2 linked regions of the Oryctolagus cuniculus genome follow. The protein of the gene in region 1 interacts with the protein of each later gene in a pairwise test. Links are inferred from orthologs where the notes say so. Each region holds a gene or a part of one and is shown on either strand. Other genes may lie near its edges. The genes, in order: ATN1 and LENG8.

Region 1 (3,583 bases):
GGCCGAGCAGCGCGCGCGCGAAGAAAAGGAGCGAGAGCGGGAGCGTGAGCGTGAGAAAGAGCGCGAGCGCGAGAAGGAGCGCGAGCTCGAGCGCAGCGTGGTGAGTGCGTCACGAGGTGCGCCGCCCGCCCCCTATCCCTCCCTCCTGGTCACTGCGCAGCGGGTCTGGGAGGCTGGGGGAGTTACCGCCACCTGTCGGAGAGGAGGAGCCACTACAGTCCAGGAAGTGAATCGCGAAAGGATTCTGGAATTCCTGGGTTGGAGGGAGGCGGAAAGATTCCTGGTGGATAGTTCCGGTGGGGCGAGGCACTTTGGCAAAAACCTGGTGAGACGGATGGACAGCTTAGGACAAGCACCCTTTTGCGTAATTTCCCTTTGACTCCATTTCTCCCTGTGCCCCACAGAAATTGGCCCAGGAGGGCCGCGCTCCAGTGGAGTGCCCATCTCTGGGCCCAGTGCCGCATCGACCTCCATTTGAGCCAGGCAGTGCTGTGGCCACAGTGCCCCCGTACCTGGGGCCAGATACTCCAGCCCTGCGCACACTCAGTGAATACGCTCGGCCTCACGTCATGTCTCCTGGCAATCGTAACCATCCATTCTATGTGCCCCTCGGGGCAGTGGACCCAGGGCTCCTGGGTTACAACGTCCCGGCCCTGTACAGCAGTGACCCAGCTGCCCGGGAGAGGGAGCGGGAAGCCCGGGAACGAGACCTCCGCGACCGCCTCAAGCCCGGCTTCGAGGTGAAGCCCAGCGAGCTGGAACCCCTCCATGGGGTCCCTGGGCCAGGCCTGGATCCCTTCCCTCGACACGGGGGTCTGGCCCTGCAGCCCGGCCCACCTGGCCTGCACCCTTTCCCCTTTCACCCGAGCCTGGGGCCCCTGGAGCGAGAGCGCCTCGCGCTGGCAGCCGGGCCAGCCCTGCGGCCTGACATGTCCTACGCAGAACGGCTGGCAGCAGAGAGGCAGCATGCAGAGAGGGTGGCGGCCCTGGGCAATGACCCGCTGGCCCGGCTGCAGATGCTCAATGTGACCCCCCATCACCACCAGCACTCCCACATCCACTCGCACCTGCACCTGCACCAGCAGGATGCCATTCACGCAGGTGAGACTTCTTCCTTGCCTACCCCTGGGTACTCTGAAGTTCTTGTGCTTCTGAGATCGCCGCCCTGACCTTTGCTCCCCCGACACGTGCACATCCCTGTTCCAGGCCCCCAGCCAGCCACAGAGCCTGTGTTCCCCACCCCCCAGCTCTCGGTGGTCTGGCCTCCTGCCCCTGCTAAGAGGCCCAGGCTGGAGCCATTTGAAGGCGCACTGCCTTTGGGTCCCGCTCCTTTGCCCAGGCCCCTCGCACATCCATTTCCTTGTTCTGGATTCAGCTTGGTCCCTGACACCCCCTCCCACCTTCCTCCCCCATCTCTAGATCTGCAGCTTTGGGTCTGGGTGTCCCAGGCAGCCCTGGCCGGGTCCACTCACTGTCCCAGTCCTCCAGCTCCCTTTCTCCCAGACTCCCCTGTGTGCTCTCCCTGCACGGTCTAGCGTCTCCTCAATGCAGTCTACCGCTGACTTCCATTTTTTCAGACCCCTCTGCCAGCTGCAATCTGTCCCATCATCCACATGCCCGTCCCCCTGGGCTCCTGCTCTTCCACGTGATGGCCTCTGTCCCACCAGGGGTCTCCTTGTGTTTCCTTGCGCATCTCTTCCCAGGCTTGGATCCCTTCACCCAATGCATGGTTCTCCCTCAGCCTGCCCGCCTCCCAGTGACGCCTTCCTCTTCTCTGCCCTCCAGCCTCTGCCGCGGTGCACCCTCTCATTGACCCCCTGGCATCAGGGTCTCACCTTACCCGGATCCCCTACCCAGCCGGGACCCTCCCTAACCCCCTTCTTCCTCACCCTCTGCACGAGAACGAGGTTCTTCGTCACCAGCTCTTTGGTAAGGATGGAGGCTTTGGTGGGAGCAGAGCAGAAAGGGGCGGGCAGTGGGCTGGGGGAACTGGGAATGGGAGGAGAGCTGAGGCCCTGCCCGAGGGGGGTACACGTGCCAATGCTAGGCTAAGAGGCTTGAATCCCAATTCCACTCCACCATTGGCAACAGGCAAGACTGGCTGTACTAGCTAACCTTCTAGTCTGTGTCTCGTGCAAGTACCTGGGCTGGAACTTGGTATCCACCAGTCACATGCCGCTGCCCTTCCTGCTTCCAGCTGCCCCTTACCGGGACCTGCCAGCCTCCCTCTCTGCCCCGATGTCTGCAGCTCACCAGCTGCAGGCCATGCACGCGCAGTCTGCCGAGCTGCAGCGCTTGGCGCTGGAACAGCAGCAGTGGCTGCACGCCCACCACCCACTGCACAGCGTGCCCCTGCCAGCCCAGGAGGACTACTACAGGTACACGGGGGCACAGCCAGCCTGGGGTGGGCTGGGAACCTCTCCTCCCCGGCCTCGTGTCAAGGTTGCTCTGTGTCTCACTTCTCTGCTGTGTGCCGCCCTTTCTCCAGTCACCTGAAGAAGGAGAGCGACAAGCCGCTGTAGAAGCTGCCATCGAGAGCACCCGTGGCTCCCATATCTCACCCTGGAGGTCCCCTTCCTGGCCTGTCACCGGAGCCCAGGAGAGGGTGCTGCTTACTTGCAGGGCCTCTGCAGCTGGGCAGAGGGAGGGAGGGAGGGAGGGACAAAGACCAAGGCCCACATGGTGTGCCCAGGTGGGGAGGTGGCCAGGGTGGGGACAAAGCGCACGGTGTCTGGGCCAGGCCCCTCTTCCTCGTCCCCCGGCTTTCCTCCTCCCCCGTGCCCCTTCCCGACCCTTTGGTGTGATGATCTCATCTGTTAGATGTGGCTGTTTTGCGTAGCATCGTGTGCCGCCCCCACCCCTCCCCAGTCCCTGTGTGCGCGCCCCTCTGCGATGTACGCCCCGTGCCCCCCACATTAATAATTTATATATATAAATATCTATATGATGCTCTTTAAAAAACATCCCAACCAAAACCAACCAAACAAAAACATCCTCACAACTCCCCAGGAAGTCGGCTGTGACTGGTTTTTTGTGGGCCGCTGCTGGGGTGGGTCTCCGCCTCCGGGAAGAGGCGGCAGAGACCGGCTGGGAGGCGGGAAGGGAGCGACCTAAAGGACCGGGGCGGGGGGCCCGGCGGGGGCATTCCTGCCCCAGCCACCGAGGCAGAGAAGGCGACGGGCGGGCCTCTGGCAGGCCCATCAGACGCGGTCGGTCTGGGCCGCGGGCCTTGGGCCCCCGGTGCCCGCCATCCCGGCTGTGGACGTCCGAGCTGGGGTGCGGTGGGCGTGGCTCGGTCGGCCAGGGCAGTCGGTGACTGGCAGACTCGACTACCCCAAGAGGAGCGGGCGGAGCGGGAGACTTTTTAATCTGCATCAGCCACCGCCGAGGAAAGCCATTTTGGGGCAGTGCGAGAGCGGCTCCTGCGCCGGGCTTTTGTTGCTGCCAATCAGTGCCTTCGTTCTTAAGGAAGAGGCTGCGACTGGCCGCTTTCTCGGCCAATCAACATGGAGCTCATTTGCATAGGGTCGTAATCAACCGTTCGTAAACTCTAAAGATGAATGATTTCAGTAAGTTCTTAAGA
Region 2 (3,800 bases), on another chromosome or scaffold:
GGCCCCTGCGCTGCTGTGGCCTCAGCTGCTGCCCGTGCCCCTCCACGCCCCTGCCCTCCAGGGTGACCACGAAGAGTTTAACCAGTGCCAGACACAGCTCAAGTCGCTGTACGCAGAGAACCTGCCGGGCAACGTGGGTGAGTTCACGGCCTACCGGATCCTCTACTACATCTTCACCAAGAACTCAGGAGGTGAGAGGCGCGGCCCTGGACAGGGTGTGTGGGAGACTGGTGTGTGTGGTTGTGTGTGTGTATGACGGGTGTGGTGTGTGTGTGTGTGCGGTGTCTGTGGTGTGTGGGGTATGTGTGCACATGTGTGTGTTGGGTGTGCATGCACATGCTTGTGTGCGGTGTGTGCTTGTGTGTCTGTGTGTCTGTGTGCATGTGCCCGCAGGGCCCAGGGCGAGCCCGGCCCAGTGTGTGTGTGTGGGTGCCCGCAGGGCCCAGGGCGAGCCCGGCCCAGTGTGTGTGTGTGGGTGCCCGCAGGGCCCAGGGCGAGCCCGGCCCAGTGTGTGTGTGTGTGGGTGCCCGCAGGGCCCAGGGCGAGCCCGGCCCAGTGTGTGTGTGTGGGTGCACGCAGGGCCCAGGGCGAGCCTGGCCCAGTGTTTGTGGGTGCACGCAGGGCCCAGGGCGAGCCCGGCTAGCTGCGCTTCCTTTGTCTTGGGCCCAGTGTGTCTGTGTGTGTGGGGGGGGTGTCTGTGCGTGCAGGGCCCAGGCGAGCCCTGCTGAGCTGCGCCCCCTCTGTCCTGGCGCAGACATCACCACGGAGCTGGCGTACCTCACGCGGGAGCTGAAGGCAGACCCTTGCGTGGCTCACGCCCTGGCGCTGCGGGCAGCCTGGGCCCTGGGCAATTATCACCGCTTCTTCCGGCTCCACGGCCGCGCGCCCTGTATGTCTGGCTACCTGGTGGACAAGTTTGCAGACCGGGAGCGCAAAGCTGCCCTCAAGGCAATGATCAAAACGTATGTGGCACTGCGCCCTCCTGCCCTCTGCCCTCGTGGCCCCGCGGCCTCTGGTCCCCCGAACCTGTCGTTGACGACTCCTGGCCCGCTGGCCTCCCCGCTGCTCTGTCAGCTCTCCCTCCTCACCGCTTCCTTCCACGTGGGCCTCTGGACGCCCGCCTCCTGCGTCCTGGGCCCCCTCCCCCACTTGTCTGCCCCTCCCTTCCTCCTGTTCCGGGCAGCCTGCACCTGCTGTGTTGTCTTCCCTGTGAGATCTGCCCGGTCTCATGCAGCCTATGGCTAACCCCCACTCTAGAGAGAAACCAGACCAGGCGACCCCTGCTCCCGGCTGCTTCTGGTCCCATGGGGCCAGGCCCTGTTCCCTCTCCCTGTGAGAGTGCCAGAAAAGTGTAGGGACATGGATGGGATGCGGGCCAGCCACACCGCGGGCAGTGGGGATGGCCAGTGATGGGCCGGGCCCCGCCCACTGAGCCCGACCTGTGTTCACTGGGCTTTGGTGTCTGGGGTGGGGCCTCGGGGGCCGGGTGGAAAGGCGTGACTCCTGTTGAGAGCCAGGGTTGTCAGCCCCGGGGACGCCGGGCAATGTCAGGACACACTTCTGTTGTCTCAGCTGGGGAGGTGACACCGTGTCCATGCAGAGTCCGCTGGCCTGCCTGTGGTTTGCTGAGGTTAGCAGCCCTGGCCAGAGGCTGGTGGCTGCTCCGGGGGCCCCTGAATGCCAGCTGGCTGGCCTGGCCTTTCCAGGAAGGGATTAGGGAGCCACAGCATGGCCTAGAGCCGCCGTGCAGGATCTCGCCTGGGAGACACAGAGCCAGGGTTGGGGCCACCAGTACACGGCCTTCCGCGTGCCTCCTTTGTGTGCGGCTGCCTTGGCCGGCCACACAGCCACGAGTGTCCCCTGTGGTGGAGTCCTGGTCCGTCCTGGACCGTGCTCTCCCAGCGCCCTTCCACTTGGGGCGTGCCTGTGACCACTCCTGCTGGGGCCCAGAGGCTGGCGTGGGCAGGGTGGGAGTGGGCCCTCCTGTCCCAGGGCCACGGCGAAGCCTGGGCTTTGCCGGCGGGTGCACGGCCACCCCCGAGTCCTGGGCCGGGTGGCCATGTGCCATCGTAGGCCAGGAACCCGAGTTAGCGGCAGCTCAGGGAACTGCTGCTGCCCAGCCCCTGGCGAGTGAGCATCCAGACCCGCCGTCCCCTGCCCGCCCCCTTTCCTCCTGGCCCCCTGCGCAGGTAAGTGAGGGCGAGGGGGGGCACAGCTGGGGACTGGGGCCGCCAGCCCCACCCCGGGCCCCCCCGAGCCCCGAGGTGGGGAGGTGGGGTGGCTGGGCAGCAGAGCACAGTGTGCTGAGTCCCGGGGGGCCCGAATGGGGGGCGCCCATCCCTGCCGGTGGGGCCCTCCCCCGCTCCTGCCCGCCTCATCACGTTCTCCTCTTGTCTCCGTAGCTTCCGCCCTGCGCTGCCTGTCTCCTACCTGCAGGCCGAGCTGGCCTTCGAGGGCGAGGCCGCCTGCCAGGCCTTCCTAGAGCCCCTGGGCCTGGCCTACACGGGCCCCGACAACTCCAGCATCGACTGCCGCCTCAGCCTGGCGCAGCTGTCCGCCTTCTGAGCACACACCGGCGCGGGGCGGGGGCGGGCACGGCCCCCCAGCGCCACCCCGCAGATTTTGCTTTTGAGCCATGGACTTGGGTTGTAAATTAAGTCGTGGGGCGCAGGCTCCAGGATGAGCGGCTGCCCCGCCCCGCCTCGGGGCGTCTGTACAGAGATTTTTTCTACGTTTTTATTTTTTGCCTCCAGGGGTGGGGTTGCGGGAGGAGGGCGGGCGGCGGGCGGGTGTGGTCTGCAGGCCGCTGCCCGCCTTCGGCCTCCACTAATGCTGTCTCAGTGTTTTCTCTCTCTCTTTCTCGAGCTGCACTCCGGCACGCGGCCGTCGCCCGGCCCGTCCCACGCCGGGGGGCCAGCGGGAAGAAGACAGGCCGTCCAGCCCGGCCCGCTCGGCGGGGGCGCCCGCAAACCAGCCCACCGCCCGCCTCGTCACAGACTCTTGTTGCCAGCCCTCCGGGGCCTCAGCGTTTGGGGTGAGGGGAGCTGCGTAGAGACTGTGCCCCACCCTCGCCCCCACCCCAGAAACGCCGCTGCCGCCACCGCCGCCGCCACCGTCACCGTCGCCGCGCACGGAGGACCCCGGAGGCCATCGCGGGAGCTCGCCGGCCGGGCCGCCTCGTCTCAAGTTGTATTAAGTTGTCTCCGTGTCCCCCTCCCCCGCCCCAATGTCTCTTCTGATTTCTCCCTCCCCTCCCTCCCCCCCTCCCTCGGTTCAGCACAGGTAAAGCGGCTCCCCCCCCTCCATGGATCACCGCTCACGTCATGTTTCCTTCTCTTTCTTTATGTGTGTGTTGATTTCAGTTGTTTTTTCTTCTCCCTCCCCTTTCTTTTGGCCCTCCCTCCCTCTTCCGCCATGTAACGGAGGCGCGAGCTTGCAAACCGGGCTGCCTCCTCCGGACGGCCGCCGCCGCCTCCGCCTCCCCCCCCACCCCCCCTCCATTCTTCCCTTGGAGCGCTGCACACCGTTTGGAAGCTTGAGAGAAACCAAATTAAAGAGAAAGAGAGAGAGCGCGCTTTGCCCCTTCCAGTGTGAGGGCCCCCCAGGTCAGCCGAGGGGGATCTCAGCCAGGGGCTGGTAGGCGCCCCCCGCCCTGCCCATGCGGCACAGGCAGAGTGTCCGCAGGGGCCGGCTCCACAGCTCCCGGCTCAGGCTGCAGCCGGGCCCCACGAGCGGGAGGCGGGCGCTGCACCCCCTGGGCACCTTGGCTAGGGTGAGGTGGGGGCGCAGGCCCCCCGGAG

The links.
Region 2: the proteins of ATN1 (region 1) and LENG8 interact in a two-hybrid assay, tested with the Homo sapiens proteins (2 studies listed by BioGRID and IntAct). The link is inferred for Oryctolagus cuniculus from reciprocal best matches to the Homo sapiens genes ATN1 and LENG8.

Annotation. Positions count from the first base shown.
Region 1 is NC_091440.1:102,603,377-102,606,959, reverse strand, and holds the end of ATN1 (atrophin-1), read left to right. Parts: coding exon 1-100; intron 101-404; coding exon 405-1,101; intron 1,102-1,703; exon of another isoform or gene 1,704-1,785; coding exon 1,786-1,929; intron 1,930-2,197; coding exon 2,198-2,378; intron 2,379-2,488; coding exon 2,489-2,522; 3' UTR 2,523-3,012; downstream 3,013-3,583. UniProt on the Homo sapiens protein: Transcriptional corepressor. Recruits NR2E1 to repress transcription. Promotes vascular smooth cell (VSMC) migration and orientation. Corepressor of MTG8 transcriptional repression.
Region 2 is NC_091449.1:4,261,352-4,265,151, forward strand, and holds the end of LENG8 (leukocyte receptor cluster member 8), read left to right. Parts: intron 1-61; coding exon 62-191; intron 192-754; coding exon 755-1,245; 3' UTR 1,246-2,402; coding exon of another isoform or gene 2,403-2,565; 3' UTR 2,566-3,570; downstream 3,571-3,800. Other genes in the region: LENG9 (leukocyte receptor cluster member 9), read right to left, coding at 3,607-3,800.